Linked DNA regions of Callithrix jacchus. The protein of the gene in region 2 interacts with the protein of the main gene of each other region in a pairwise test. Links are inferred from orthologs where the notes say so. Each region holds a gene or a part of one and is shown on either strand. Other genes may lie near its edges. The genes, in order: RAD54B, ATPAF2, LNX1, LRRFIP2, FSBP, PAK5 and RPIA.

Evidence for each region.
Region 1: the proteins of ATPAF2 (region 2) and RAD54B interact in a two-hybrid assay, tested with the Homo sapiens proteins (2 studies listed by BioGRID). The two-hybrid records come from large-scale screens. The link is inferred for Callithrix jacchus from reciprocal best matches to the Homo sapiens genes ATPAF2 and RAD54B.
Region 3: the proteins of ATPAF2 (region 2) and LNX1 interact in binary tests that used the Homo sapiens proteins (3 or more experiments, as listed by UniProt). The two-hybrid records come from large-scale screens. The link is inferred for Callithrix jacchus from reciprocal best matches to the Homo sapiens genes ATPAF2 and LNX1.
Region 4: the proteins of ATPAF2 (region 2) and LRRFIP2 interact in binary tests that used the Homo sapiens proteins (3 or more experiments, as listed by UniProt). The two-hybrid records come from large-scale screens. The link is inferred for Callithrix jacchus from reciprocal best matches to the Homo sapiens genes ATPAF2 and LRRFIP2.
Region 5: the proteins of ATPAF2 (region 2) and FSBP interact in binary tests that used the Homo sapiens proteins (3 or more experiments, as listed by UniProt). The two-hybrid records come from large-scale screens. The link is inferred for Callithrix jacchus from reciprocal best matches to the Homo sapiens genes ATPAF2 and FSBP.
Region 6: the proteins of ATPAF2 (region 2) and PAK5 interact in binary tests that used the Homo sapiens proteins (3 or more experiments, as listed by UniProt). The two-hybrid records come from large-scale screens. The link is inferred for Callithrix jacchus from reciprocal best matches to the Homo sapiens genes ATPAF2 and PAK5.
Region 7: the proteins of ATPAF2 (region 2) and RPIA interact in binary tests that used the Homo sapiens proteins (3 or more experiments, as listed by UniProt). The two-hybrid records come from large-scale screens. The link is inferred for Callithrix jacchus from reciprocal best matches to the Homo sapiens genes ATPAF2 and RPIA.

What each region holds. Positions count from the first base shown.
Region 1 is NC_133517.1:32,724,726-32,729,182, reverse strand, and holds the start of RAD54B (DNA repair and recombination protein RAD54B), read right to left. Parts: upstream 2,873-4,457; 5' UTR 2,757-2,872; exon of another isoform or gene 2,658-2,756; intron 1-2,657. UniProt on the Homo sapiens protein: Involved in DNA repair and mitotic recombination. May play an active role in recombination processes in concert with other members of the RAD52 epistasis group.
Region 2 is NC_133506.1:69,116,808-69,121,293, reverse strand, and holds the start of ATPAF2 (ATP synthase mitochondrial F1 complex assembly factor 2), read right to left. Parts: upstream 3,071-4,486; 5' UTR 2,915-3,070; coding exon 2,782-2,914; intron 1-2,781. Other genes in the region: GID4 (glucose-induced degradation protein 4 homolog), read left to right, coding at 3,380-3,817. UniProt on the Homo sapiens protein: Plays a role in the assembly of the F1 component of the mitochondrial ATP synthase (ATPase).
Region 3 is NC_133504.1:143,048,156-143,052,799, reverse strand, and holds the start of LNX1 (E3 ubiquitin-protein ligase LNX), read right to left. Parts: upstream 3,037-4,644; 5' UTR 2,733-3,036; intron 1-2,732.
Region 4 is NC_133518.1:74,952,207-74,955,607, forward strand, and holds the end of LRRFIP2 (leucine-rich repeat flightless-interacting protein 2), read right to left. Parts: intron 3,087-3,401; coding exon 3,007-3,086; intron 2,433-3,006; coding exon 2,328-2,432; intron 1,895-2,327; coding exon 1,784-1,894; 3' UTR 594-1,783; downstream 1-593. UniProt on the Homo sapiens protein: May function as activator of the canonical Wnt signaling pathway, in association with DVL3, upstream of CTNNB1/beta-catenin.
Region 5 is NC_133517.1:32,762,388-32,767,145, reverse strand, and holds the start of FSBP (fibrinogen silencer-binding protein), read right to left. Parts: upstream 3,171-4,758; 5' UTR 3,095-3,170; coding exon 2,721-3,094; intron 1-2,720. UniProt on the Homo sapiens protein: Transcriptional repressor that down-regulates the expression of the fibrinogen gamma chain. Represses transcription of GSK3B gene promoter via its interaction with APBA1.
Region 6 is NC_133506.1:16,737,856-16,741,866, forward strand, and holds part of PAK5 (serine/threonine-protein kinase PAK 5), read right to left. Parts: intron 1,878-4,011; coding exon 1,744-1,877; intron 1-1,743.
Region 7 is NC_133515.1:25,424,619-25,428,629, reverse strand, and holds part of RPIA (ribose-5-phosphate isomerase), read left to right. Parts: intron 1-1,218; coding exon 1,219-1,279; intron 1,280-2,779; coding exon 2,780-2,835; intron 2,836-4,011. UniProt on the Homo sapiens protein: Catalyzes the reversible conversion of ribose-5-phosphate to ribulose 5-phosphate and participates in the first step of the non-oxidative branch of the pentose phosphate pathway.

The DNA.
Region 1 (4,457 bases), on a different chromosome or scaffold from region 2:
ACTATACCCTGGGTAACAAGAGCGAAACTCTGTCTAAAAAAAAAAAAAAAAAAGCCAGGTGTGGCAGTACACACCTGTAATTGCAGCTACTTGGGAGGCTGAAGCATGAGAATCACTTGAACCCAGGAGGCAGAGGTTGCAGTGAGCAGAGATTGTGCTATCACATTCCAGCCTGGGCAACAGAGCGAGACTGTCTCAGAAAAATAAATAAATAAAAATAATCATGCTAGTATTACTTACAGTGGGGGGGAGAAAAGGAAACAAGTATGTCCATAATGAAGTATTAGATAAATTTTGGTACAGCCACACAACTGAACACATTCTCTTCATATACCACCAAAACTGAGTCAGTACTGTTCCCCATGCTAGCCAGGTTCTGTTTTTCTCTAGGCTTTGAATAAACTTTCCCTTATACTAAGTTGGGAATGCTTTTTCCCACTTTTCTTTGCCTGATTAATACTACAGTCCTTTAGGGGTCTTAACCATGAGCCCTCTTCATCTCTTTCCAAAGACTGGACTGGAGGACCTTCCTGTATATGTACTACTTAAGTACTTTTCACACTGCAATGAAATTTGCCCTATCATTCTCCCTGAGTTATTAACTCAGGCATGAAATCTCATGTACAATTCATCACTATATTGCCAGTACCAAATACACAGAAGGAGTTCAGTATTTGTTACGTGAATGATCCCATTAATAGGGAGGACCACAATTTTTAAAAATGTTTAATGACATAAGAAATATTTTTGATAAAGGAAAAATGGCCACAAAACATGTTTGGCCTCATTCCAACTTTTAAAAAGGAAAAGAAAAAGGATAACGTGTTTATGTACATTTAAAAGACTAGAATGCAAAGGAGCATGAGGAAACTTGTTTGAGGTGATAGAATAATCTATATAAGATTGCAGTGTGGATAAGGGAGTGTATATACAGCTGTATATCAAAACATCAAAATGTACATATCTAGTAGCACACTGTAAATTACACTGCTATAAAGTAGATATGTTATATATTAAAATACACAATCATTTTTAAAATCCAGAAAAATACATGCCACAACATTAACCCTAATTATTTCTAAGTCTGGTTAGAATAACCAGTAATTTTTAATGTCTTCTGAGTTATTTTCTGTATATCTCAAATTTTTTACAATGAAAATGTTACCTTTGTAACAGGGAAAGTGTCATTAATTCGATCTTTTTAATTACCATATTTCATCAGATCTAAAATGCCATCAACTGTAGGATATACTCTTGATTGTCAGTCCATATAAAAGACATTTTTTAAATAAAAATGTTAAAAATGAATTTTTTATTGTAAGATGTACCATTATTTTACCTATCCAAGAAAAAAGGTGTAGCCAATTAAATCATGATACACTATCACTGATGGTTAGACATTTCCCAATTTCATCAATGTTAAAATGATGAAACATGTAAATATTTTATACATAACCAGCCTTTGCGTCGTTTGAGAAATGAGTAGTAGAGATCACTCTCTCTTGTTTCTTGTTCAAGGACAAGAACCAGCAACAGACTCTGCTGTTTCTGCTTTTCGACCTCCAACTACATTAGGTAGCCATTATTTCACGTCATGCCTTAAGTTGCTCCTTTGACTTTGAGACTCAGGCTATACAGGTGGTTCCCAATTTAGGATGGTTTCACTTAGAATTCTTCGACTTTTAAGAAAGCCATAAGCATTCAGTAAAAGCTGCACAAGGAACCACACAACCGTCTGTGTTCATGATTTTGCCCAACTGTAGATTCAGGTAAGTGTTCTGAGCATGTTTAAGCTAGGCTAGCGCAGCCATAAAAAGGAATGTGGGTGCAGCTAGAAGCTATTATCCTAAGCGAATTAAAGGAGGAAGAGAAAATCAAATATTGCATGTTCTCACTTATAAATGAGAGCTAAATTCATGAACATAAAAGATGGCAACAAGAGACAGTGGAGACAACCAGAGAGGGGAGGAAATGAGGAGAAAGGGTTCAAAAACTATCGGGTATTACGCTCAGTACCTGGGTGACAGGATCAATCGTACCCAAACCTCAGTATCAGGTAATACACCGATGCAACAAACCTGCACATGTACCCCCAAATCTAAAATAAAAAGTTGAAATTATTTTTTTTTTATAACAAAGGTAGGCTAGCAGTTTTAAATACATTTTCGACTTAGGATATTTTCAACTTAGGATGGGTTTATCGGGAGGTCACCCCGTAGTAATTCGAGAAGCATCTGTACCTACCTAGAAAATCTTTCATAAGGTAATTGATTAAAAGGTTTTAATAAAATAAAAGAAAAACCTGACCAGTGAAGAAATAAAAAGTCCCTAAAGAAGGCGTACGGACAATCTCCAGGGCGCTCGCGGAGCATTCACCCCCTGGCCCTGGGAAGGAGCTTCCCAGTGCAGGAGTGAGAGAGAAACCAAAACGCCACAGGAGCCCCAAACGCCACAGGAGCCTGAGCGAAACGACTGCAGGGGCAACCCCAGGGGCCTCTACCCAGAACCACCCCTCGCACACAAAGGCACACCCCCAAACTCCCACAGTCCGCCAGTCGCTCCGGGACTCCCCGGGACCAGCAGCCCGGGCGTCCCTCGCACCAGACCAAAGCGGCAGGCCTGCAGGCCACCTCGGTCGCTCCTGCCGCCTTCCCTACCTCCTCTCTTAGAGGCCTGCTCCCGCACCACTCGCTGCTTTGTCCCGCACGAGCCTACAGGCCGTCACAGCCTCCCAAGCTTCCCTGTCCAGAACGCACCGGCGAAAATCTGACAGAAACCACTGACCCTGCAAAACATAAACTTCTGGCAACCAGCGAACCCCTCGCCGCCGGAGAAGCTCAAGGCTCCCGCCTCGGCGCAGCCAATCGCGGACGAGCCCACTGCGCGTGCGCACTACTAGCAGCTGCGTCGCCGCGTCCAGCCTTACTCCGATTGGACAACCTTACTGCAACACTGCGCATGTACCTTTGCGTTTCCCTTTGCTTGCTCCCAAGTTTGATTTTAGTCTACGGTTCAGTTAAAAAATACTGGTTTAGTGCCTATTGTCAGACACGGTGTACAGGCTGAGGCTACAGACCTCACCATCTGCGTGGACAAGTAATAAATAAGGTATGATTCGGTGTGTGCGATAATAGAAATGCGTGCATCGCAGAGGTACAGGTTATCCTACTGGTTATTCATGTATCCGAAAAAGCATTGATTTACTGTTGCCTGCAGGATATTTTTCAAACTCTTTGTTAGGTTCTGGAAATATAGAAATGAATACGTGATTACTAGGCCCTCAGAAAAGGGGAGCAGCCTCCGGATTTAGAAAAGCATTAAAGTTACGTAGGAAAGTGACATCATTCAATTAGTATTTACTGAGCAACTTCAAGTGCTAGGAGATGACACAGTCAACTTCCAAGTGCGAGGAGATGACACAGTCAAAATGGTGTTAGAAAGACTAATCTGAGAGAGAATGGTTAAAGGTTGTTTATTGAGTTTTATCCAACAGTTTGACAAGTAAAAGCTAAAAAATATCAAGTGTTAAATGAAGATGTGAAACAATGGAAACTTGGGCTGCTGGTAGGAGTATAAATAGGTATAGCCATTTAAAAGTGTAATTTAAGGCTGGGCGCGGTGGCTCACGCCTGTAATCCCATTACTTTGGGAGGCTAAGTGGGCGGATCACTTGAGGTTAGGAGTTCGAGACCATCTTGGCCAACATGGTGAAACCCTTTCTCTACTAAAAATATAAAAATTAGCTGGGTGTGGTGGCGGGCGACTGTAATCCCAGCCACTCAGGAGGCTAAAGCGGGAGAATAGCTCGAACCCGGGAGATAGAGGTTGCAGTGAGCCAAGATGGCGCCACTGCACTTCAGCCTGTGTGGCAGAGCGAGACCCTGTCTCAATTAAAAAAAAAAAAAAAACAGTAATGTGCTTATGGAGCTTTTATCCTGGAGACTTTTTCCAGTAATAAAGAGCACCTCATACGTTGAGTTGTGTTTTTAGCAGCTCCTGGAGCCAGGGTTACAAGAATTTGAATTGGGGGCCTGCCAAGGTTGGGCACCCTAGTAAACTGCACCTCCCTCTTCTTTGAACTGGGACAGATAAAGAGTAAGGGTAACCAGAAAAAATGCTAGCTCTCATAGTGTCTACAGCCTACCTTAATGTAATCGGGGAAGTTCAGAAAATCTAAAACAGAGTGGCTACAGGTGGCCTGGGACATGCCTCTTGCAGATTTGCACCTGGTTTGCTCCTTCACCTCAGATCATTACATGTTAACTTATCAAAGGGCCTTATGTGACAGTCCATTACTTTTTTTTTTTTTTGAGACAGAGTCTCGCTGTTGTCGGCCTGGGCTGGAGCTCAGTGGTGCAATCTCAGCTCACTGCAACCTCTGCCTCCCAGGTTCCAGCAGTTCTACTGCCTTAGCTTCCCGAGTAGCTGGGATTAGGCAGGCATGAGCCACCACGCCC
Region 2 (4,486 bases):
AGAGTATAGGTTTCTTCTGTGGGTGATAAAAATGTTCTAAAATGGATTGTGGCAATGGTTGTACAATTCTGTAAATATACTAAAAACGATTATATTTACACTTTAAGTAAAGAAATTGTAAAGCAAGTAAATATCTCAATAAAGCTGTTAAAAATCCTTCAGGCGAAATGTTACACATTTAGCAAACCTTTTCTGTAAAGAATCAGACAGTAAATATTCTAAGCTTTGCAGGTCATACAATATCTGTTCCAACTATTCAACTCTCCACTGTAGTGAAAGCAGCCATAGATGATATGTAAACGAATGTATGTGGCTGTGTTCCAATAAAACTTCGTTTACAAAAACAGGTGGCAGGCTGGACCCTGATCTACAGACCACACAATCTTCCTCAATCCACACCACTATCCTATGAGGACGACAAGGCAGTTAGCTAATGCCTCGGAGGTGAGAGAGAACCTAACGTCTTCTCTAGATGACAACTAGTAAATAGCAGAGACAAGACTTCTAGCCTTGACTTCATTAGGCAGTTGCATTCACTCAGATATGCTGATTAGATAGGTTTCTCCAGAACACCTCCCAGTCTGGGAAGTCAATAGACCTCTGACAAGCTGGTGCAGAACTGAACTGCCACAACCACTCACATAGGTCTTCTTGTTGTAGTATCTCCTTCTCCAACACCTCAGTGACCCTTTCCTAAACTCTTCTTCTCCTTCTGATGATCTTCAATGGCATGGCCATTCCTAAGCAGCCAAGTTCAATCAGCTTGCTAACTGAAGTGTTTATTGAGAAGAACCTACTTGGGTTTAATCTTCTACTACAAACACACATAAATATCTCACAACTGGTAAGGTCTTTGTAGAGCACACACGGACCTGATTTATGCACCTTCCTCTTCATTCATTCATTCACTCCTATTTTCTTTCACATTTGACTACCTATCATGTGCCAGGTACTTCCAAGAGCCTAAACTAGTAAGTTTGCAGTGGAAAGGAAAACAAAACAGTAGGATCAAGTGCCATCATTATATAAAGACAGCATCCACGAATCTAAATTAACCCTTTGTGGTCAAACGTGGTAACCCACCCACGCCTGTAATCCCAGCACTTTGGGAGGCCAAGGTGGGAGGATCACCTGGGTCAGGAGTTTATGACCAGTCTGGCCAACATGGTGAAACCCCGTCTCTACTAAAAATACAAAATTAGCTGGGCGTGGTAGCGGATGTCTGTAATCCCAACTACTCCAGAGGCTGAGGCAGGAGAATTGCTTGAACTGGGGAGGCAGAGGTTGCAGTGGGCTGAGATTGCACCACTGCACTCCAGCAGGGGAGACAAGAGCAAAATTTCATCTCAAAATAAATAAATATATACATAAAGTAATTAATTAACCCTTTGCTTTTTCCAACTTGGTGAACTCCTGAATGTGTCCCCTTTGCTATGGACTCCCTGGGATGTCCTTTCTTCTTCTTTATTGGCCCTTCCCCCAAGTCCTACAGGAGAAACTTCAGCACCCTTCTGCATCCAGCCACCTTCCCCATTTCTATAAAGTTATAGAATCTGACAGCCAGAAAGACCCTCAAAGGCAACATCGTACTTCAACTCACAGAGAAAAATGAGGAAGTAGTTACATGCCCAAGATCACACAGACCTCAGAGGTTCAGCCAGCATCAGATCCTAGATTTCCACTTCTGCCACAAGGCCAAAACTGCTTGTGAAATTCTGGATTTTCTAAAGCAGGCAGTGTTAGGGAAAAGTCCCTCACACCTTGCTGTCACCCCTGGACATGTTCTAGATACCCAACAGTCTTCCACCTCCTTGCTGAACTCCTACTCATCTATCACTGTTCAGTTTAAATGGCCTTTCACCCAAGACTTGTTCTAGACTCTGAACATCCCTAAGATGGGAGTAGGTGATTCTCCGTGTCCTCACAGCTTCTTTGTATGTCCCTTATCAGGATATTATAAACCATAGTTTAATCAGGATATTATAACCTTTTTCACTGAACAGTCAACATCATTCAGGTGGGCCTTTTCTTCTTTAATTGAGCTTCTCTACCAATACATACAGGTGGGTCTTAAAGACTACTGCGCCTCCTGCCCCCAGCACAATAAAAGTAATTGAATGGTGGCGGGAGGGTGTTACTGCTCTTCCTTCACTGAAATGAGTCATTTGCCCTCTCACCCTAACACCACTCACTATCAGCAACAAAAGAGCCACAACTTCTAAGCTTCATCAGAGTTGGAGGTGGAGGTGATTCCAAAATCAGAGATGGAGGTGTCAATTTCTATTTAGGAGAGAGAGAAGGCTGCAGATGGCAGGGGTTGCACAGGATGGAAAGTCAGGAAACCTGCAGCTAAAGTGCCCGGGATGGAGGACTGATTGAACTTGGCCCTTCTGTGCAGGTCTTATGTTGGGCAGTGGAGACATAGAAAGCAGTCAGACTCCAGAAACCCGAGTCTGCTCTGTAACCTAGGCGAAGTTCTGATTCAGGGCCCAAACCTCCCCTTTGGAAAACAAAGATGACACTTGCTTTCCTCATTAAAGAGAGGGCAGCCATAAGCTTTGAGAAAAGCTGCCCAGGCCAAATATCAATTAATGTCTCGTGCAGGACGCGCTGTTCCCCCTCGGGTCGTCTGCCTTTGTTTGGGCTTCTCTTTCTCGTCTGTAAAAGGACCCGACTGGCCTGCATAACCTCATGAGCCTGAACCCTGCCTCAGTCACACCGCCCTGCACAGCAGAAGTCCGAATTCCACCTTACCCCCAGCTCGGCCCTTCATGGCCTCACCTGTCGGCGGGGCGTAAGCCCGGGCTGGAGACAGGATGGTTAGCCCCGGACTCTTAGAAGCGCTGGGGCCACCCGCAGGCCGATTCAGGAGGCGGCGTCCCCCGTCCCGCAGCCGGTGACAGCTCCTCCACATCGCGCCCGATAGTCTGGGAGGATGCGCAGCGTGAAACCTAGAGCAGGAAACGGAGCGAAGGGACCTCCAAAGCCGCACGATCGGGCTGTACGGAAACCTCTCACCGCCCCCTCAGAGCCCGCAGCCTCCCCTGGATGCCGCCATCTTCCACATGACACCAACGGCGTGCCGTCGCCGCCGCACGCCTCCTGCGCACACCCCCAGTCAATTAGCATCACAAACGCGCCTCGCTCCGCCCCCTCCACGCCGCGCCTCAGCGAGAAGACCACAAGTCCCAGCGGGCCGCTCGCGCACCCCACCACGTGCTTTCTCCTCCCGCCAATGGGTGGAAGCGCCGTGTAAACCTGTTCCCGCCCTCACCGGCTCGCCCGAGCCAATCGGAAGGGGCGGGGTGTGTGTTTGTGCGTGCGCGCGCGTGCGTGTGTGTGTGTGTCTGTGTGTGTGTGTGTGTGTCTGTGTGTGTGTATGTGTGCGCGAGGGCAAGTCGGGAGGGGGACCCAGCTCAGGACTGGGAGGCCCTGCTCTCAGGTCCCTGGGTCGCGGTGGCGGCCGAAGCGCTTAGTTTGCATACAGCGGACGGGTGGTCGCCCCTCCCGCCCCCACCCTGCGCGTGCGCGCCTCGGCCTCTCCCTCCCAGCCACCCTCCTTGGCTCCCGCGCGGCGGCGGCGGTTCCTCTCCCACTCCCCCCAGCCCTGGCTCCGGGGGACCCCGCGATGCCGGTCCGCACCGAGTGTCCCCCGCCAGCCGGTGCCTCGGCTGCCTCCGCGGCCTCACTCATCCCGCCGCCGCCCATCAACACCCAGCAGCCCGGCGTGGCCACCAGCCTGCTCTACAGCGGCTCCAAGTTCCGCGGCCACCAGAAGAGCAAGGGGAACTCGTACGACGTAGAGGTGGTGCTGCAGGTGAGCGCCGGGCCGGGCCGGGGCCCGAGGGCCTCCTCGCGGCGCTCACGGGCCGTGCCCGTCTCGGCTCCTCGAGCCGGCAGCCGCGGAGCAGGCCCTCGTCGCCGGGGCCTCCTGCACCCGGCGCTTCCCACCCGGGACCTGCCCAGCCTGTGCCTCACACTCTCCGAGCCCCAGCCCTGACCTGCCCCCTCAGATCCAGAGCCCGTCAAGACCCGCTTCTGGCGGACCCCGAACACTCTCCCAGACTTGAAGCCGGTGACCGGCCGGTCCGGGATCCGGAAGCCCCCATGACTCGGGGAAGGCCCGGGTCCTCCCTCCTCATGACCTGCCGTCCCTACATCAGGGACTGCCACGAGCCCTTTTCAGACCCTGAAGAACTCTCCATTGGTTTCACCAGACTCTGGACACTCCCCGTGTCTGGGCCCATGTCAGATTCAGAACTGAGTCCTGCCCTCCCGCCTCTTCCTCAGTCCCAGGAATCCGCAGACCCTGGGGGCTTCCTCTTCCTGAGATCTCCTTAGGAGGGCTTCATCAGACCCCTCAGACGGGGGAACACCAAACGCACCACTGATTGGTCAGGCCCTGGCCCCACCTCAAGACCAGACACTCACTCCCTGAGTGCTGCTCACAGTCTGCTGGGATCTTGCCTCCTGGGTCCCCTGTTCC
Region 3 (4,644 bases), on a different chromosome or scaffold from region 2:
AGCTTGGGAAGTCTGGCTCCAGAGCTCTTGTCCTAAAGTCTAAAATCCAACACCACCAGCTCACCTTCACAGCCTGCGCCTGCCTGGACGCTCCTCCTCTTGCCTCTGGTACTGTACCAGCCATCCTGAGGTAGCTCCTGAAATTTTCCACCCATTACACTCTTTCACCTTTCATGCACACCACTCCCTTTACCCCCGCTTCTAGCCAGTCTTTACCTTGTTAATCTCTGCCCATTTAGGATTCCCTTTTGGCATCTCTTCTGTGCCCACCCAGTCTGGGCTAGGTGCCCTCCCCTGGCAGGTTGTGTAGGCTCTCATTGCACTTGTCCACATGGAATTGAAATTTATTGCTTATTTGCTTCCCACAGTGGACTGGGAGTTCCTTGAGGGTAGCAATCAAGATTTAAATCTCTATGTCCCACCCTAGCCAAGCACCTCATACCTCGTAAGCGCTTTGTATCTGTTGTTGAGTAAAATGAATAATGGAGAACCTTGACAAGGACTTGGCAGAGAAGAAAAAGGAGAATTAACTGCCCCAGTAGTGGTTTTTACCCTGGAAATGTTGTTACTACCCTGAGCAGATAGTGAGCAGCTCACATCCATATAGATGAGCAGACCAAGTGGAATAGAATGAATGGCATAAGCCTGACTTCTTTAGGCCTGATGCTGAGGACATGTGCCCTGCCTATACGAAGGAGAAAGCTCTGTTCCCCATCAAAGACAGTGACAACACAGGTACATACACACATGCACAGCGCAGGTCACAGTCTTTAAAAATATTACACGTGGCTGAGCAAAGTAGGCACCTGTGCGGGGTGTGGAGGACATATCGTAGCTCCAGAATTCCAGGAGCCAGCTCAGGGAGGCCCAGAACAAAGCATCAGGGCCTAAGCAGGGTGCGGAGGGCATCTGAATGGGGCAGGGGACACTGGTCATGATGGCAGTTGGTGATATTTGGGGGACCGAACAAATAAACAAATAATATATTAAGGATAATGGGAGCCAGCCTCTGATCAATGTTAATGACGGCAGTTACAAATTCAGAAAGGGAGAAAACTCTGTGGTGTTGGAAGTGTGAATTTATGGTTTTCAATACATATGGATTAATATAGAAATAAATAGATACATAAATAGAGGAGGAAGCTGGGAATCAGAATTAGACCTGTCTAGCTCTTTTCACCATTCTTTACTAAGGCCCTACACATAGGCCCTCTGCTGTGAAACCTCTGCCCCCTTCGCTGTCCCCTAGAACCCCAACTGGAACTCACATAGACTTAGAAGATTCCACCCCCATAGTCTCAGAGCATGCATCACACCACATGGCACTAGTTGCACACAACTAACTCATGAGGTTTTGGTTACATGGAGGGTAGGCCTCCTCTTATCTGTATTCCCTGCATCTCCCTTGGAACCAGGCACATGGCCATCACGATAGTTAGTATTAATATTTACTGTGCACTTATTATGCATCAGCAAAGACTTCACATGCATAATCTCATTTACAGCTGAAGACAACCCTATGAGGGACATATTACCATCATTCCCATTTCACATATTGGCAAGGTGAGGTTAGAGGGGTTAACCGAGGTACGCCAAGATGTAGAGCTAGTGAGAGGTAGAACCAAGAGTCAAGGCCAGACGGTCTAATTCCTCAGACTGTGCTCCTCACCCCTCAGCTCTGCCACCATGGACTAGGTGTAAGTAAATGGTCACTCAACAGATTCCTCCCAGGGACTTGTGTTTCTAAACACTCTCCCTCAATCCAAGTCCACACTTTATGCTGAGCTCGTTTGAAGCTCACCTCTTTAGGGGAGCTCCCCATCCTGGTCTGAACTGCTGCCTCAGTTCTCCTTGGGCACAGGGCTTGCATCGCACCCTGACATATGACCCAGTCAGTGTTGGAGCAGGGAACATAGTTTGTCGACATTTGTTGAACTGAATTCAATGCCCAGGAATGGAAGTAAACAGGGATACATGACAAAGTGGTATATTGTACAGGATACTGTGGTTATCTATTTCTGGATTTTCCAGAAGAGTTCAATTTCTAAAATTCCATCCTCTCATCAGACCATTTGTCAGAATACATGGCCAAGAATGTAGTCTGGAATTTTGTTTAAAGAGTAAGGTCGCCATTCTATAGAAGAGAGGCGGGAGTGGGCACAGGGTGTGCTGCCGGGCACCCCAGCCCGACACACCCGTGGGCAGGTCACAGCTCTCTGAACCTCTTTATCTGTAGGTAAAACTGCAGTGCAATACCTACTCCTACTGCGGAGTGAAATGAAGTCTGTGTGTGATGTGTTTTAAATACTGATGAAGAATAATGTCATGTAAATCCAGTTACTGCTAGTGGGATTCCTCACGGTTTCACTGACCTGTCTGGCAAGTCATTTTCATCTGTGAAAGTAAAGAAGCTTTTAATGAAGACCACTGCAGGAAAATAGGTATAAAGAGAGCAAATGTCCTGAGGTCTTTCTAGTGTTTTGAAAAAGACACCCCTGGATATTTTCCATCTTTTAGACTCTCTTCAATTTGATGCGTGTGTGTGTGTGTGTGTGTGTGTGTGTGTGTGAGAGAGAGAGAGAGAGAGAGAGAGAGAGAGAGAGAGAGAGAGAGAGAGAAAGAGAGAGAGAGAGACAGAGAGAGGGGAGAGTTGGAGGCCGAGTGGGCAGAGGTGGAGTTGTTTTAAAAAACTGCATGAGATTCTAGCTGGTGGAGGGACAAGGCTATCTTACCTTTGCTGTATGAGGTCTCCCAGCTGTGTGAGGTCTCAGGAGATAGTTCTTTTGAGAGCTGAGCTTTTCTGGCTTAGCAGTAGCTCAGAAAACTTTTCTTTCTCTTTCCAGTGTTCTGTGCCCCAGCTGTGTATAAAAACTGCTCCGCCTTTTTCCATGCAGGGGTTAACCAGGGCATCTCCTGCCCCTTCTGCAAGGCTTTGGGTAGAAGAGATCCATAAATCTGACAGCAGCTATGGGGAGATTCAAGGAAGAGCAGTCTCCCGCAGAGCAGCATGCATTACCATCAGTGACAAATCTGTCTGGTTTGGATGGGGCTGAGACACCCCTGAACTTCCTTCTGCTCTTGCCAAAAGTCAAGATCCTTTTGTTCACCTTTAGGGTTGCCAAGTCAGGCCTACCTCTCCCCTAGATGTTGTTTCCTGCGGGCAATGGGAAAATGATCTTGGAGCCAGAGAAGGGAAATCAACAAGGAAATAAACACAGGGTCACCACACCTTCAGGCCATCAGTAGGTCTGGAACATTATCATGCTGGGACCAACTCCTTAATAGGCAGGGGCTGCTGACTGGACAGGCCCTAGAATCCTGGGCATCTTTTATTTTTCAATAAGTAAAGGGGCATGCACCAAAATCAGTATCAGGCAAATAAGTAGTTCTGACTTGTTCTAATACCTTGCCAAAACTTTCAAAGATTTTCCATAGGCAGTATTGCTCATAACTGAACATTGCCTAATGTTTGTAGACAAAAAAAAAGGAATGGGCATGTTTGTGGCTGATACTATTTAAGACTTTTAACTCCAAAGATATAGAATTATTGTTTAAATAAGTATTTCTTCTGCTCATTCTTCAGCATCATCACCATCATCACCATCGTCAGCGGCTGCAACATCTTTGCTAACATTTATTAAGTGCTTACTGTCTACCAGATTCTATAGTAATCACCCGACCTGCATTATTTCATTTAATTCTCAACAGAATCCTATCATTATCACTCCCATTATACAGATAAAGAAACTGAGGATTAGAGAGACTAAGTCATTCCTGCAGAGTGACCCAGCTAATTAAAAATGTAAACATTGTGATTCCAGAAGTGGGCTTTTCTGAGCTTTGCTTTTCCCACCAGTTGACCTAAGCACTAATGTGGGCTGACAGCTCCAGTAAGGACCAAAGATTTTGCTTAAATAAGTGATTAGCTCTGGGTATCAGATTCTAAATAGAAACATAAATAATTAGTGAGTTAAGTAGTCTCCTTCCAGAGATGTGAGTCGAGTCCTTGGTGTTACCTTATGTATATGCATCATGCAAGAAGGACACAGAGAGTTCAGGTACTTGTGGCCCCGTAATCACAGGTGGTGCTACTGGCTGCAGTGCCTTCAGCTCTCCACTGTGACTCTGATTTACAAACAAGGAAGTGCTCTGCAAGTCCCTTGGCCTCTGTGTGCATTTCGGTCATGGCCTGATTGCTACTTTGTCCTTTTGACTTTCAGAGTCAAACTGCTGCAAGTTTCTTTTAATCAATAATCCAGGGAATGAAGGAGGCAAAATGACCAGCCTGGAAACTTCTGCCTGGTGAGATGAAGCCAGCACATGTATTTTTGGTCCTAAGGTCACACTTCTCACTCATATTTACTCTACCCCTAATCTTTACTTTCAATTTGGCTCTACTCCTAACCTTTCCTTTGAAAGAGAGCTAGCAGTTAGCTCTTTTGTGTCATGGCAGTTACCCAGGGCAGCTGGCATCTGGTTCAAGGATGGTAAAACAGTTAGTTAGGAGACAAAAGGATGCCCTCCAGTGGGGCCCAAGCTGTCTGCTTTTATAAACGTAAGAGCTGTGACATCAGGGCAGCTGCACATACTTGTTGCCCTTGGATTTGTTTGGTGACACTTTAGGGGTATTTTGCCCTAAGGCTG
Region 4 (3,401 bases), on a different chromosome or scaffold from region 2:
GGGCACCTCAGAAGTGAGGTTCCATGAGCCCAGGTGTGGCACAGGCTGAGTGACCTTGAGTAGAGAGGAAGAGGGGTTTTCTGAGCTTTAAGAGCTGGGTCACACAGTATGTTGCTTCTAGCGGGGATGGAGTTCTAGAATAAACCTGCACTTTAGAACACCTTTCCACCCACCCCCCAACCACACAATGTTGCTACTATTAGAAAAGGTATAGGCCAGGGCACGGTGGCTCACACCTGTATCCTAGCACTTTGGGAGGCAAATCCCTTGCTGTCAGGAGTTTGACCAGCCTGGACAACATGGCAAAACCCTGTCTCTACTGGAAGTACGACAATTAGTGGGCTTGGTGGTGCACACCTGTAGTCCCAGCTACTCAGGAGGCTGAGGCAGGAGAATCGCTTGAACCCGGTAGGTGGAGGCTGCAGTGAGCCAAGATTGTGCCACTGTACTCCAGCCTGGGTGACTGAGTAAGACTCTGTCTCAAAAGAAAAAATGTATACGAAAATCATCTGAATTCCGGAAATTGGTATCTGTATTTTTTAAATGAAGGGCTAAAGAAGGAACAAATATTAGAAATTTCATTCACTTTTGAGTTACCTTTTGAAAGTCTAGTTTTATTATCTCATGTGCCTTTAGTTACTAGATTTTCCCCAATATGTTTTCTGTGTAAACACTTTTTAAAGATAAATTAATAATTTCAATGAAACCACCTGGGTACTGAGAGCAAAAGAGAATCATAAATCCTGCAAAACAGTTGCACTCCATGGCTTAAAAAACCCTCTTGGACAGGGCACCTCTAAAGATGAAACTAAAGTCTTTAAAGTTCTACATTCCAGATTATTTTTCCTTGAGAAGGAGACAAAAGAAGACAGATGTGGTTGCCATGATTTGTTTTGAACTCTCCTGTAACAAAACGAACATGTCAGTAGCCAACTGTGGTTGGCAGAAGGGTATATTTAATAGAATCTTAAGGCAGATTTCTGACCTGCCCGCACTGCCCTCCCCTCCCCCTTTGGGTTTGTTTGAGGTTTCATTCCACACATAAGCAGCAGATAAAATACTTTACCAGGTACAGCACAGTTGTATTGAAGAATAAAGGACCTGACTCTTACTTTAAGAGTGTTAGGCCTGGACTTCCCCTGCCCCATGCAATAACGCAAGTTTTATATACACTCCCCATATTTTTTCCTAACATTTTCTTATATAAATTTAAATATTTTACAAAAAAAGGCTTTTTTCCTCCAGACATATAAATTTGAGTGAAACACAGATTTCTCACCCAAGAACTTGTTTCTTCACCAAAATATAAATGTTGTCTGATATTAAGGGTATATGTCTTTTGACCACTGGAGATCACTGTAGTCTGAATTGCACCGTGGAGAAGGCACTTGTGTTTTCTGAGGTCTCCAGCAAGTATTATCTCAGTGAGCACTCACAGAAATGCTGTCTGTCCTCCAAAACCCGTGCCAAGGCCTCCGAGTGCCCAGTTACTGAGGCAGCTGGGGGAAGATGTTAAGTAAACATGATTCTACAATTATGGAGATAAAAAATAAAAACAGCATGGACTGGTTCTTAGTCTAGAATCAAACTACAACAACATCCGAAGTGTTCATTCACGAAGATTCAAACTGGCTTCATTCGCTCATAAATTATAAAATACAAAGGTGGCTGTTTTAACGACAAAACTCAAAACAGTACTAAAAGGGGTTTGTGTCAATGGACAAAAGTCAGTCCCTCTAGGTAGGGGCCCAGGGAGCAGCACCCAGGTCAAAGGGTGGTCTTCCTACTGCTGGGCCAGAAGTGCGGTCCTATTGGCCTTCATCTTCTCCAGCCGCTTGGCCAGGTGGCTGTTGGTCATCTCCATCTCCTCAATCTTGTCCAGTGCTGTTCGTAACTGGAGACAGGGAGAGTGCAGTCACTACATGTGGTCAGAAACAACGTCCAGTGCTACTTTATTTTCAACTTCTGGAAAATGAAAGCACTGCTATTGGGATGGCCTTGTGCAGGACCCACAGCCTCATTTTTTCTGTCAGGTAGAGGTATTAAATGATGATACTGAGGATTCTTTATTCGCTTTAATCACAGAAAGGATGAAATTGGAGAAATAATCCTGATCTGAAGCAAAAACAAAAACTGTCTTTTTACTTACTATCTAACTGACCAAAACATAAAAGGAGACGGCAGTCAGTATGCAGGTCAGAAACCAACACAAATTAGTAAGTAACTCAACTGCTGTTTCCTTAAGCATCACATTTCTTACACAGCTAAGAAATTTATTTCCAAAAGATATTTTTAGGAATGTATTTTCCAAGAAGCCTGTGAAGTACCTCTCGTTGTAGCTTCCTTTTTTCTGCTTTCAGTTCATCTTCAACCTTCTCAGCATTCTCAGCAGCAGTTTTGTATCTCATAACCTGTCCCTCAAGCCGGCTAATCTGTAAGTGTAAGAACACAGGCCTCTAGCACTGGGCACTAGAAGTCACCGCTTTTTGGTAGCCAAGATGGAAATACAATGTTATAAATGCCAAGTAATCTAACACTAACAAGTCCCCTAAGGGAGAGTCATAGGTCCTCTCAGAACTCATTGCTATTTATAAATCAAGAAATGTCCCCAGAGAGGATTACAGCTGTAGAGTCATTTTAGGGCCAATTTCCCATGCTAAGTTTTATGATGACCATAGTATTTAAGTCCCAAAGAGACTCACTAAATGGAAAAGTTCTTAGACTTTCTGGAATGTATACTAAGGGATTTTGTTGCAAATGATGATCTTGAATTCTCTTGAAATAGCTACAAAAACCAGTGATAGCTATAGTTTCCTATGTTCTAAGAGAAAACAGAAGGCTAAAATGCCCCACCAAGTGCTCTCTGCTGGCTTTTCTATTTGAATACAGAACTTTAATGGATCCAACTGCAAAGCATCCCGAGGCAACCCAGGCACTCCTGGGCTGTCAGCCACTTAGATGCAGGAAGGACATTTCCATCACCTGGTACTGTATACAAGTACTTACACTTTGCTCCAAGGTGGTTATATCTTGTTCTGCTTTTGAAAGCTTAAATTTGTATTCGTTAATTTGTCTGTTGGCATCTCCTAGAACAGAAGATAACAATGAATTATCTTCACCTGTCAGAGATGGACAGTATGAGCCATCAGAAAGTGCCTTTGCAGCACCGAGAGGACCATACAGTATTATGATTAGAAAATACAAATGCACACACAACAACCACAGCATCTTCAGCAGCCCATGTTCTGGACGGTATATATTACAAGATGCTCTAGCACATACGATACTACAGTATAACTTGCAACAAGAGTTAGAAGAAAATTCATTCTTCACCCTATGATGTGTGTGAGCAGAGCTTCCCTGCCACTTCAGCAGCAGCCCCTGCCAACCTTATGTGGAGC
Region 5 (4,758 bases), on a different chromosome or scaffold from region 2:
CATCAATGGAAATATTTATTTAATATTATATGGAGATTTTACAAATGATAAGAAACATAATTAAAAGAATATTTTATATACGAATAATTAAAATGCTGGAACAAGTTCAAGTAGAATGCATGGAGAAAGATTAAAACTACCCATATGTCACTTACTAATGGCATTAAATTGCCAGAAATATCAGATATTTATCTAAGAGACAAAATGAAACACATATATAGTATATAATGAAAAATCTATCGGTAGATTACATAAATTCATTTTTGTTCTTGTCCCTATTTGTGTTATTTTATGATTTCCAAAAGCAAAACAATTAATTATAAATGTAATTCAAAGTAGCAAAATCTGCTTCTATTATTAATAGCTCTGCTAAAACCTACAATGGGAAAAGGTTAAAACTGCATATGAAAAGGAAGTTTTTAAAACCACCTAATTACTATTTCAAATTAGCATGTACAATAGACTATAAACATAGACATTATACTCTCAAGTAAATTAAAAACATGCCTTATATCTGGAACATTCCATTTCAGCTAACACATTACAACTAAGGCATAACAATGTAAAAAAGGAGGAAAGAAAACTTTAGAGCAGGTCACAGAAATGACAGAGAAGAACTTGAGAATCAGAACTTTGAAGATCAGTTTACAAAAACACAAAATATAAACTGATATTAGGGAAAGGTAAAAATAAAGACATAAGGCAATGTGACTTACAGAAATAAATAGCCTTACAAAACAGGTATATGTTTTTAAGTATGTCAATGCAAACACTAGTATTTTCCTTATTAAAAAGGGAGAGTTTGGTAAGATTAACAGGCATATTTATATAGAAGTATAGTCAAGATTATAGAATAATTTTAAACTTCTGAGATTAAGATTCAAGGACCATGTCAAAAAAATATAAGCACATTAAAGAAATAAGCTAATATGGAGAAAATGTCAATGCAGACACACTAACATAAGAATTTAAGAGGCATGTTTCTTACATTCTTCCCTTTAAAATCTAAGAAATTGGTATTATTTAAGCCATAGGTATAGAAATACACAAATCAACTCATTTTTATCACAGAAATATTGATGTTCCAAAATATTTTGTTTGTGTGTGTGTGTGTGTGTGTGTGTGAATATTGTATACATACACACAAAAATGGTCAAAATGTAACCAAATACTTGTATATTTATATACTCACTGTAATTCTCTTCTATACTCACTGTATTTTTTAAATATGCAACTAATTAAAATTAGTTTCTCCATGTATTTTCAAATTATAAAAATTTATACCTACTAGCCAAAAGGTACAGTTTTATACCTGCAGTGCAAAAAACACTTTTCTCTATGGTTCAAGGGAGAGAAAATAAACATAAGCAGCACAGCATAAAACAATTTTACTGTGTAGCTTTCTGGATATCCAGCTATTGGGATTTCATCATTTGTCATCACAGTGAACATTTTAAGCAGTGGCCCCAAGAATTAATCCACTGTGTATTCATGTCCTGGATTCCCACTGGTGATATTTTTTACTGTGCTATCAAGTAGAAATAAGCTACTGCTTATTATCTGGTAAGAAGCTTGGCTCAAAAATACTTTCCTAGTAAATTACCAAAATAATATATACACTTGGCTACAAAGTGTTTTTTTCTGTTTCTCTCCTAATTTCAAAGGAATTTCACAATAATCAATAATTTGCTTATATAATGCCTCTCCCACCAACAGAAAAGCACATTGTGTAAAGCTTTGTTTGAAAGCCCCCTCAAACTAACAAGGAGTTTACAATTTGTTTAAATTATCCTGAATGGTTCAGAATAAGAATGTAGCTGCCATTTTTATATTTTGCCAGAGGTTACAATCCAAATTAGTGGCAAGATAATAGTTTTGAAAATTCCAAGGCAAATAGTTACATAGAACACAAGTTTAACCAAAAAATTGCTTCTAACTCTAAAAAAACCCAGTTGCTCTTAGGAGTATTTTAAAATTCATAATTTGATATCCTTGCAAAACAGTAAGAGAAAGCTTACTCTTTCCTATATGACCCAAGATCAAAGTGAAACTAGACCATTAAGGAATAAAAAGAACAAAAACTTTAAATTTTATTAAGTAAACTGAATACCTAATTAGGCATTAACTCCCTTTAGTTGCGTTCATCTTTATTTTAAATGTGTTAGAAAAATAATTTAAACTGTCTTTATATATACAATCATGCCATTAACAAGTTTACTTATTGATTTTAGTTCTATTTGTTAGTTAATGCATATTCAATAAGTGTAGACAATGACAATTCATAAAAAAGCAAAGGTTCCATTTCTCTAGAAACTGCTAACCTTATATAAATATTATATAAAATTAAAAATTCCAGTGAAATGTAATCTTAAATTTAAAAAAAAGTATCTCTCAGAAGCAAATTAAATAATTTAATTTTAAAGCTTAAAAAGTTTATGAAGTGATGTCACAAATTTCATCCCACTTACTCCTCCCTAACCTTTACTTTTAGAAACTACAGGGGGGATGAGGGAGGGGAAGACAGTTAAAAAGTAGCTTAAATGCAACAGAAAAATTCCTTATAGCCTCACTTTTCTCTTTTTAAAAAATGCAAAACAAAGACACTATTCATTGCTCCCGTTGTGGGGATGCTTACTATGCATATCTCTGTCACAACTAAGCCAAAGCCCAATGGATAGGAGGCGCCATAATTTTCCATAACAAAATAAAATAAAGCTTACCTTTGTATGTGGTTCCTGTCTCTTACCAGGCAAAAACTGGAAATCTGGGGAATCATCTCCATAACTTTCTTGGTTGGCTCAGAAATATTGCTTTTAAAATCTGATTGGGTCTCTTTTTGCTGCAATAGCTCCTGTTTGGCATATTCTTTGAGCCTTTTGTAAAGGGTGCGTAGGCCTTGTGCTGTTCGAGGAGGGCGATCTACTCCAATTGCATTATAGTTAACTGCTATGATATCCCAACATCTATTCTTTTCCACTATTACTGAATGTTTATTAGTGTGTTCTTCGAGAATTTTCACATATGGCTTCACAAGCTTTAGCAAATCAAGCTTTTCAGATAAGGTAAAATTGGAAGATCTAGCCTTTCCTACCATTGTTCTTTTCAAATTAAGTAGGCAGTTTCCGAAACCACCATGCAGCCTTCAGCTCTGCTCAGCTCTTTTCACAAACAGAAAAAGATCAGGCTTAACTAGGCTAGCCTCATTTAGGCCCACGCCTACAGGGGAGGGTTTATTAAAATTCCTCCAGCTTAAGCTGACGCAGGTTCAGGAAATCTGCTTAAGCCAAGCCTGACCTACATAAAGCTTCTCACTGAAGAAGACAGGAAGGCACAAGCAAAACACACTTGTGTATAAAGGGAACAGCTCGAGACAGGATTTAATACACAAAGGTCTAGAGATAAGCATGGAACACAGCTAAAAATTAGCTAATTTAGTGAGAATATCAAATTTCACACATGTATGCCTAGCTGACAGACTGAACTGCATTGCAGTATCACTTTAATAAAAACAAAAGAGGAACAGTTTTGTGCTATTTATTTACAAATCCAGTAGACAGAAAACCAAAAGATATGAGTAGTGAATGTAGTAATTCCTAACAGAGCCTCTCATCACTGTTTCTGAGCTGAGTGTTCTCCCTTACAAAATCTGCATAATGCTGGACCTGCTGTCAATCAGGAATTGCATATCCACTAGCTAGTTAGGTTACACCCAGACCCAGACTCCACAGTAAAGCTAAGCTTCTCCTTCATTTTACAGTCTACATTAGCCTCTGCATATTTTTTTCAGTTAAGAAGAAATTTTTCCAGAACACCCAATCTAAAAAGCAGGTAAAAATCATATTTTTAAAGCAATGGATTATTCTAGCTGTAATGTATGTGAATATGCTAGCCTGCCTTATCATGTGTAAAAAATCACTATTCATGGTGAGAAACAGTATAATCACGCCTTAAGACTCCACACACGAAATCGAATTTGCTATTATAACAGAGCCAGATTTTTTATTTAGCTATATTCACACAGTTTGGACTATGAAAGGAAACAGCTAGTCTCGTCATTTTCAAGGCCACCAGTTTCAGTGCTTAGAATATCTTTGTTAACCCCAGTATGAAAATACATGATACATAATAATGTAAGTAAGACAAGCCTATTTTTCTCACAATATATATGTTTTTTCCAGATAGGGGAATAAATCAGAACATATTTGAACATAGTTCTATCCAATCAAACTATTACTGAACAACTGTGATAGTATTAAAAGGTGGGGAAATAAATTTTTTAATTACTGACCACGTATAAAAATGCTCCCAGGCACTGTGTAAGAAATCAAGTCAATCTAGATACAGCACCTATCCAGGGAACTGTAGTTCTACAGAAATGCTATAAATTCTCAATTATCTTGTTTTTCATTCTTTTAACAATGGAGAAGCAAATTAAATTGAGCTCTCACCTTGAGCCAGATACTGTGTTAGAAGCTTTAAATGTATCATCTTTCAGAAAACCAGTGAAAGACTGCTGGATGTCCTGTGGAACGCTAGGTGTTGTCTGGTATACCCCACTGAGTAATTTGATTCTATAATAGTTCTTTCCTTTCATTGTCTTTGAGCAGTTTTACAGCTCTGTAAATTGTAGAAATCAGCAATGCAAATGATTCTTGTCCATAGAGATGCAAAAAGAAAATTGACCTGCCCCAACAACTGGACCACAGGTACTCAAAATCATACTAGCATTTCTAGCATTTTCTGAGCTTTCACAACATT
Region 6 (4,011 bases), about 52 Mb from region 2:
GTTGACAACTCTGGATGGAGAAAATTAGAAAATACAATGGGTTTTAGGGACACACTCTCTTAAGTGGTTTCCATGGATACAAAATAAGAATGGAAAGGAATCTTGACAAAGGTAGAGCTGGAGACCTGAGCTATGTGAAGCTCTGGAAGGTTAAGAAAAAAGCTTCTCCCCTGAACACATTTTTATTTTTTGCTTTTTATGAGAAAAGCAAAAACTGTATATCACATTTGCCTTATTCTTATATCTTTCCAGTATATTTGTTTCTAACAATTAAGATGATCTTATGTGGTTTTTTTGTTGGGCATGTCTTATTGCTACACCAGCAAGAGTTTTCCAGCTGAATTGCTGGTGATAAATGTTCAGTGTCTTCACTCACGACCCTTTATTGTGAGATGGTCTACTCCAGACTGAGAACTGTAGAGCCACAAGAAATCTCATTTTAGTGGAGAAAAAGCAGCATGTTCTATCCCTCATGGAGTTTTCCCGTGCTTTCCTGTTACCTTGCTTTCCACATATTATATACCTGGATCCACTTTTGATTCAGGTGCCATTTCAATAACACCAGCTAACACTCAATACCCCTTCATCATGACAACTCTTACTTTAACTTTTTGGCATTTTATTTATGATGAAGACCAAGGTTAAAGTTTCCCAAATGTAACATGCTATTTTATATGTCTATTCCACAGAACCTTGCTTCTCTAAGTATGGTTCATGAACCAGCAGCATTGGCATTGCCTGGGAGTTTGCTATAAATGGAATCTTAACCCCTCTCTAGTGAGTCAGGATATGCATTTTGATAAGATCCACAATGATGTATGTGGACACTGGAATTGAAGAGGCACTGTCCTAGCACATATTCTCTTCTCTGCCTTCAATGTCCTTTTCCTCCCACTTGCCTTCTTAGTAAACTCCTATTCATCTCTTGAAATCCATCTCAGATGTCACCTTATATTAAACAGAAATCTTTCTTGACTCTAATAGAGACAGTAAGATATTCTTCTATGCTGCACATATATATCTTCCTAATTTTGCACTGATATTATCATGTATTTCTCATTAGCGATGTCCCTGAGGGGATGTATCCGAGCCATGTTCATTTTTATCTTCTGCATCTCCAGCACTTGCAAAAGAGCCTGGCACATAAAAGGTGCTCAATAAATATTTAACAAAATGGTTAGACCTGGCACATCAGGGAGGCAAATAGCAGAAGCAATAGGCTGGTAATTAACCACTGTTACTTGCAAGAATATTTTAAAACAGACTTGAAGAATTTCTCTATGCCATGTAGATTCATTATTCTGATACAAAACTTCGACTGATACTCTCCCTGCTCCTTCCTTTGCCCGGTATCCTTGGTGATCTTAGCACGCAGCAGCAGTAGGGTAACTTGGGAGAATGAAATTAGGCTTTAGAAATCTATGTAGGTGATGGGAAAATCTATTATTTGCCACCAAAGCTTCATTCTTAGCAGGTTGCTTATTTTAAATCAATGGGTATTAATGCCCTTGTGAGGACAGGAGAACATTAACCAAATGAATGAACTGTACATGCCTGATAGCATAATGGGCCTTCTGGGGAATGTGGGGTAAAGGGTAGTCATATTCCCTGACTCCAAAGTGCCCACAATTTAGAAAGAGTTCATAGTCCCTGAAGCTTTATCCTGGAGAAGAATAAGAAGCATTATCTGGAATAATCCTGGAGAATAATGATAAGAATTATCTGGATAATAAAGAAGCTTACCTGGTGTGAGTCACGATGTCTGTCAAGGCACCACCTTCTAGAAACTCCATGACCACCCAGAGCTCATCACCAACAAGGTAGCTGTTGTACATGTCAACCACATTGTCATGGTGGTAATCCCGCATGATCACGACCTGGATGAATGGGAAAGATACTTTTGACTTGTGAAGATGAAGTTGCTTTTTGTTCTCTTGTGGACACACCTACAACTGTAAGTAAATTGATTGAGAGGTGCTGATTGTGGGGAATTTTATTCAGAAATATATGACAGACAAAAAGCATCAAGGGTAGCTAGTAGAAATAAAAGGAATTAAGGTAGCAAATTTGAGAGAAAATGACAGGTCCCCCAGACATTGGAGAGACAGAGAGAGTAATGAAAGCAGGCAGAACAAAAGCAAGATCTGCATTCAGAAGAGGGAGTTTCGTTGTCTGTCAGCAAGGATATGATCAGATATCCCTAAGGGTCTCCTTTAGAATGTGCTGTTCGCAATCTTCTGCTGGTTATCCTAGCAAAGGGTCACCAACTCATAGTAAGTGAGGGAATGAGTCTCATAAGTGAATGAAGTAAGCTATTGTTAAAACTGGAGCCACACAAGACCAACTTAAATTCTCCTTAGAAGAAGGTATGGGTTGAACCTGAGAGATATTTGGGCTGAATTCAAAGAATATATATTGAAGATAAATATGGCATACACATAAAAAAGGCTAAGGAGCCTGCTTGCTGGAGAGAGCTTCCAGAAATTGCTGCCCTGTGGCTGTTTTCACTGGAGTTTTCAGAGTTAGTGTTAATAATAAATTACAGAATTGTTTATCCACCTCATATTGCTCTGTGTGTTCTGGCATTGTGGTTTGAAAAATAAATTCCAGAAGTCAGGAATAGTGGACTGGGAAGATGCTGAAGCCCACTCACCTGGAACTCTGTGAGATTTGGAGCATGTGTGAGAAATAAGCACCCATGGGAGCTGGAGATGTGTGGAGGCCACTGGGGGCTTCACATGAGCCTCCGTGAAAAACAGAGTTCAGAATTGCAGCTGAGTGCATTCGCACAGTGCCTGTTTATGGATTAAATACCTTCTGCCTACTTCTCAAAGAATAGGAGTGCTTACAATAGAAAGACAAAGAGGTCAAGCAGCTGTAGATTGTTCTGGGAGTCAGAAGGTGGATTGCGCACCCTGTCCTGGAGACTGACATCTAACACTGATATCCTGACTTGATATCTTTAGGGCTTAGAGCTCTCATCCACAAACATATATCTTTCCCCACAATGCTCTTATAAAATTACTTAAAGAATATTACTGCAAAATACTTGATGTGTTTTCTAACATAATTTCTCATGTTTCCCTTCCTATTTTAGATTTCTTAAATGATAAGTTTAAAAGGTAAATGAGAAAGTGGAAGGTAGTGGCCGGGGGTGGCTCACACCTGTAATCCCAGCACTTTGGGAGGCCGAGGCGGGTGGATCACGAGGTCAAGAGATCAAGACCATCTGGGCAACATGGTGAAACCCCGTCTCTACTAAAAGTACAAAAAATTAGCTGGGCATGGTGGCACATGCCTGTAATCCCAGCTACTAAGGAGGCTGAGGCAGGAGAATTGACTGAACCCAGGAGGCGGAGGTTGCGGTGAGCCGAGATCGCGCCATTGCACTCCAGCCTGGGTAACAGGAGCAAAACTCCGTCTCAAAAAAAAAAAAAAAAAAAAAAAAGAAAGTGGAAGGTAAATGTTAAAGTACAACCAATAGACCGAGAAGGGTTGATTCCTTAACATATCAATAGCTCTTAACGCATCTGTAAAACAAATGCTAGCACCCCAGCTGAAAACTGTACACCGAACACACGATTCGGTGGAGAAATAAAAATGGCCTAAACTTACATAAAATTCAATTTAACCACACTAGTAATAAAAGTGCTAATGAAAACTGTAAGGTTTATTCATGTCTAGCGGATGAACAGAGATAACATGACAATATAAATGGTGCTTCTGAAGGTGAAAAGTATTGTTGGTGAGAGTCTAGATTGATACGAACTTTCTGGAAATTAACAGTGTATACCACTTCTCTAAAAAAAATTACATGTCATTTGATGTGTTCATTCCACTTCTAGAAATCGAAGAAAATAATCAGATGTGAAGCCAAAGACATATGTGTAACAACACTCACTGCAAAACAATAAAACTGACAAATTGGAAACAATATAAATTAGATACTAGTTTTAAATATAATACATATATATGATAGAATATTATTAAGCCATTAAAATTGTGTTTTGG
Region 7 (4,011 bases), on a different chromosome or scaffold from region 2:
GTGTGCCACCATGCCCAGCTAATTTTTGTATTTTAGTAGAGATGGGGTTTCCCCTTGTTGAAAGGATGATCTCGATCTCTTGATCTCATGATCCTCCCTCCTCGGCCTCCCAAAGTGCTGGGATTAATGAGCCACTGCGCCTGGCCTATGTTAAAAATTTTAAGTCGTTTTGGTAGGTGCTTCATAAATGTTAGCTGCTGCTTTGGTGTTCTGTTGGTTTTGCCTTGTACTGACAGGAGATAGATGTCAGGAAGTTGCTTAGGCACTGAGCTCTATGTTAGTTCCTGTTAGTACCCCTGGCCTTGTTTTTTGCTCTTTGTGGTCTAGTAGATTCAGCTGAGCTCCTACTTTGTCCTTGGTCTGTTTGTAGGTACCTTCCCTATTTCTTAAGGTGGTAGGCTCAGTATTGCGATGTCTGTTTCTTATACTTTGTACTGAGGAATTGCGCTGCATCGATTACAGATCCTTCCTATTGCAGATGAAGACTATTTTTCATGTTCTTAACTAAGCCTTTGCTCTCTTCCCATTTTCTCTAAGGCAGGCTCATGCAAAATGAGCACCCTTGGTGTCACCTAGGCAGATGCTGACATGCTTTATTATTTTGAAGTTACTTCAGTCCCTCCCTTTATCTGCTGATTTTGGGAGAGCTCTAGATGGTGGACCTGATGTGTCTTGTGCTACCAACTTGAAGGTGCCTGTGGAAGGCACTGAAACCAGAAACCTTAGCTTTCCTCTCTTACCCAGGCTCCATGCTCTGTTGTTTTTCTTAGGTGTTTTCTTTCTAATTACCTCCTTGGGGTTGGCCAGGAATCTTTTCTTTTTTTTTTTTCTTTTCAAAACTCACTGTTGCTGGCTTGAAAGATCAGGAATCCTTAAGTGTTTATGTGCAGGCCATTTCTGTGAGGGTTACGTAAGTTGCTATTCAATTGCAAGTAATTGCACCAATTATTTGGTAGAATGTAGGGAGGAAGTGGTGGTGTTGACAGTGTCAGAAATGAAGGGAGGAGGTTCTTGTTGATCATTTGTCCGCCATGCATTGGCTAAAGTACAGCATTGAGGTTCAGTGTTTATGTTCCTGTAAAATAGGCACAGTACCTGTCTTGCATCTGTGTTGCTGAATTGCTATTCAGAATAATTGTATAGCTTTAGGAAGTGGGCTGACAAGGGAATAAAATATGGTATTGATAAGTTTTGTTTTTTCTCCCCCCTTTTTGGCAGAATAATCAAGTGCTGGGAATTGGAAGTGGTTCTACAATTGTCCATGCTGTGCAGCGAATAGGTATGTTCTTGCACTGTTTGCTGGATGTTTTGTGTATGATGATGGGGTAGGGAGGTAGAGGAGAGGGAGGAAGTGGCATTGTCCTTTTGGCTTCAGCTGTGCAGAACTGGAGAGATGGGACTACCTGAGGTCAGTTGAGTGTTTCTGCTCTTTTGTGGAGAGAGGGAAACTTGGGGCTCTTCAGCCAACTCTAAAGGATGCCCTTGCCTTTGTTTACTCCGCTCAGCTGGAGGGGAAGAGCTGACTTGAGGTCCTGATATAATTTTAATCATGTCAATGGCATTCTACTGTCAAGTCCTGTGTGTGGTCTCAGACTTCCTCAGGCAAATAATTGAGGTCACAGTGGTTTTGCCTTGTCTATGACCCTGGAATGGATGCGGGGCTCCTGCACCTGATGCCTAGTCCCTGCAGGTGCTCATTTCACACCAATTAGGGTGTGTCTATGCTTAGGAAAGGCTCAGGAATTATCAGCCCCTATGGCTGCTCAACAGGTTTTACTGCCCTGCTCTTTGTTTGTAAGAACAAAGCCCAGAGGAGAGGCCTGCCTGAATGCTGAATTCTTCTAGGTGCCAAGGGGCAAGGCCCAGGAGGCAAAGTCCAGGAACACTTTGTCATCAAGGAGTGTGGTTTTACTGCTGGTGTGATGGCTTCTAGAAGCCTTATTGGCCAAATGGGAGCATTTGTGTTGTATATCTTTCAATCTTAACCAAGTATCTGGAGAATACTTTCAGGGCACAGGAGTTACTATGAATTTTATAATAGTGGCACCCAAACCTCCCAAGATGCACTCAGTGATTTAAAAGACTTGACATTTTAATAAAAGTTTTTTTCCTGAAATCGTTTTTTTAAAAATCAGACTTTCCTGAAAGTTACAAATCCAAAATGAAAAAATAAGTCTCCTTTAGCTACCCTCTAGGGCCTACAAATAAGTATGTTCTTTACTAAAATGTGAAAATAAAGTTCTAGCATTTTCCTAGAAGAGACAATAAAGGGGAGTTAAGACTGTGTGGCTAGATGGCCTGGGATCATAGTCCAGCTGTGCCATTTATTAATGGTATAACTACCGAGTTACATTACCTCTCTGAGCCTCAGTTGCATTATCTGCCAAATGGGGAGAGTAATTTAACTTAAGTTTTGGGTTGTTAGGATTAAGAGCTCATACATACAAAGTTCTTAGAATATTGCCAGGCACATAACAATAGCAAACACTGACATTGCTTTCTGTGGTCAGTACTTACCTCTCCAGACTTCCGTGTGTCCCTGTCTTCTGATGTGTGAAGTACAGTCACCAGCTTTTCCACCAAGGAGGGGGACACAGAATGAAAGGTGTGCGGTGTTCGCGCCAAGGGCTTGAGACAGCTAGCGTGACTCGCCCCAATAGAAAGGCAGCTGACAGTGGAAGATAGACCTTCCCTTACCTGTTGGATTTGAGTAAACACATGACAAGAAAAATAAAGTGAGGAGAGTGAAAAACTCTCAATATGTCTTTTGTTTCCACAGCTGAAAGGGTGAAGCAAGAGAATCTGAACCTCGTCTGTATTCCCACTTCCTTCCAGGTATGTCCTGCTTTCCATCTGCATTGTGACAGCTTCTGCTCTATCTTCTGGTTCCTTGAGGTTGTGGACACATGGCCTTGTCTTGTATCTCAAGGTTGTTCTAGGTCAGAGAGTCCAGGAATGGGAGAGTTTATTGACCAAAGATTTCATCTTAGAATTGTAGTTTTAGGTGCATTTGTTTATTTACTCAATGAATATTTCCATGCATGTTGAGTTTAGGCACTACAGAGTAGGCAGAGATGGCCAGGTGGTCTCTATCTTCAAGGAATATTATTCCTATTTATAGGTGAAAAAAATCAGGCTAGGCCAGGTATGGTGGCTCATGCCTGTAAACCCAGTACTTTGGGATGCCAAGATGGGCAGATCACTTGAGCCCAGGAGTTCAAGACCAGCCAGGGCAATATGGTGAAACACTGCCTCTGTGAAAAATAAAAAAATTAGCTGGGTATGGTGGCTTGTACCTGTAGTTCCAGCTATGTGGGATGCTGAGGTGGAAGGATTTCTCTTGAGATCAGGAGGTCGAGGCTGCAGTGAGCTGTGATTGTGCCAGTGTACTCCAGCCTGGATGACAGAGTGAGACCCTGTCTCAAGAAAAAAAAGACAAAACAGGCTAAAAGGAATTAAGCAATGTGTTAGTAATGCAAGCACATCATAAAATAGGAGGAAATGATGGAGGAAAGCAGTGGAGCTAGTTAAATATAGAGAAAGAAAGAGCAGGCTTTGGGAAGTGGAAGGGAAGACAGTTGCTCAGATGGAGCCAACTCTCATCCTACGTCTGGCCATTGCAGGGAGGAGTATGCGTATAATCTCTCATTAGATTAGTCAAGATGATAATACGCCCTGGGGTAGGAGGTGAGATTTATAAGTGACTGGTACTCCTGGGACTTTATGGACTTAGGCTTGGAACCCTCCCAATCCTGGAGGCACAGAATGCTGGCAGCCTGCAACCAGCTCTGGTGAAGGGAGGGAGGTTAAGATTCCTTCTAAAACAGACATGGCATCAGCTTAATGGTAGGGAGTAAGGCAGAGATTCCAGGTAGACAGGTTAGGGAGTCAGGAGAGTGCATACTGTTGGAGCTTCCTTGATGTTAAATCTCTCGGAGACCCTAAACAAGCTGGATGGTCATCCAGGGGACTGAAAGGAATACCTTAAGTGTTTTTTTATTGCTGCTTTTT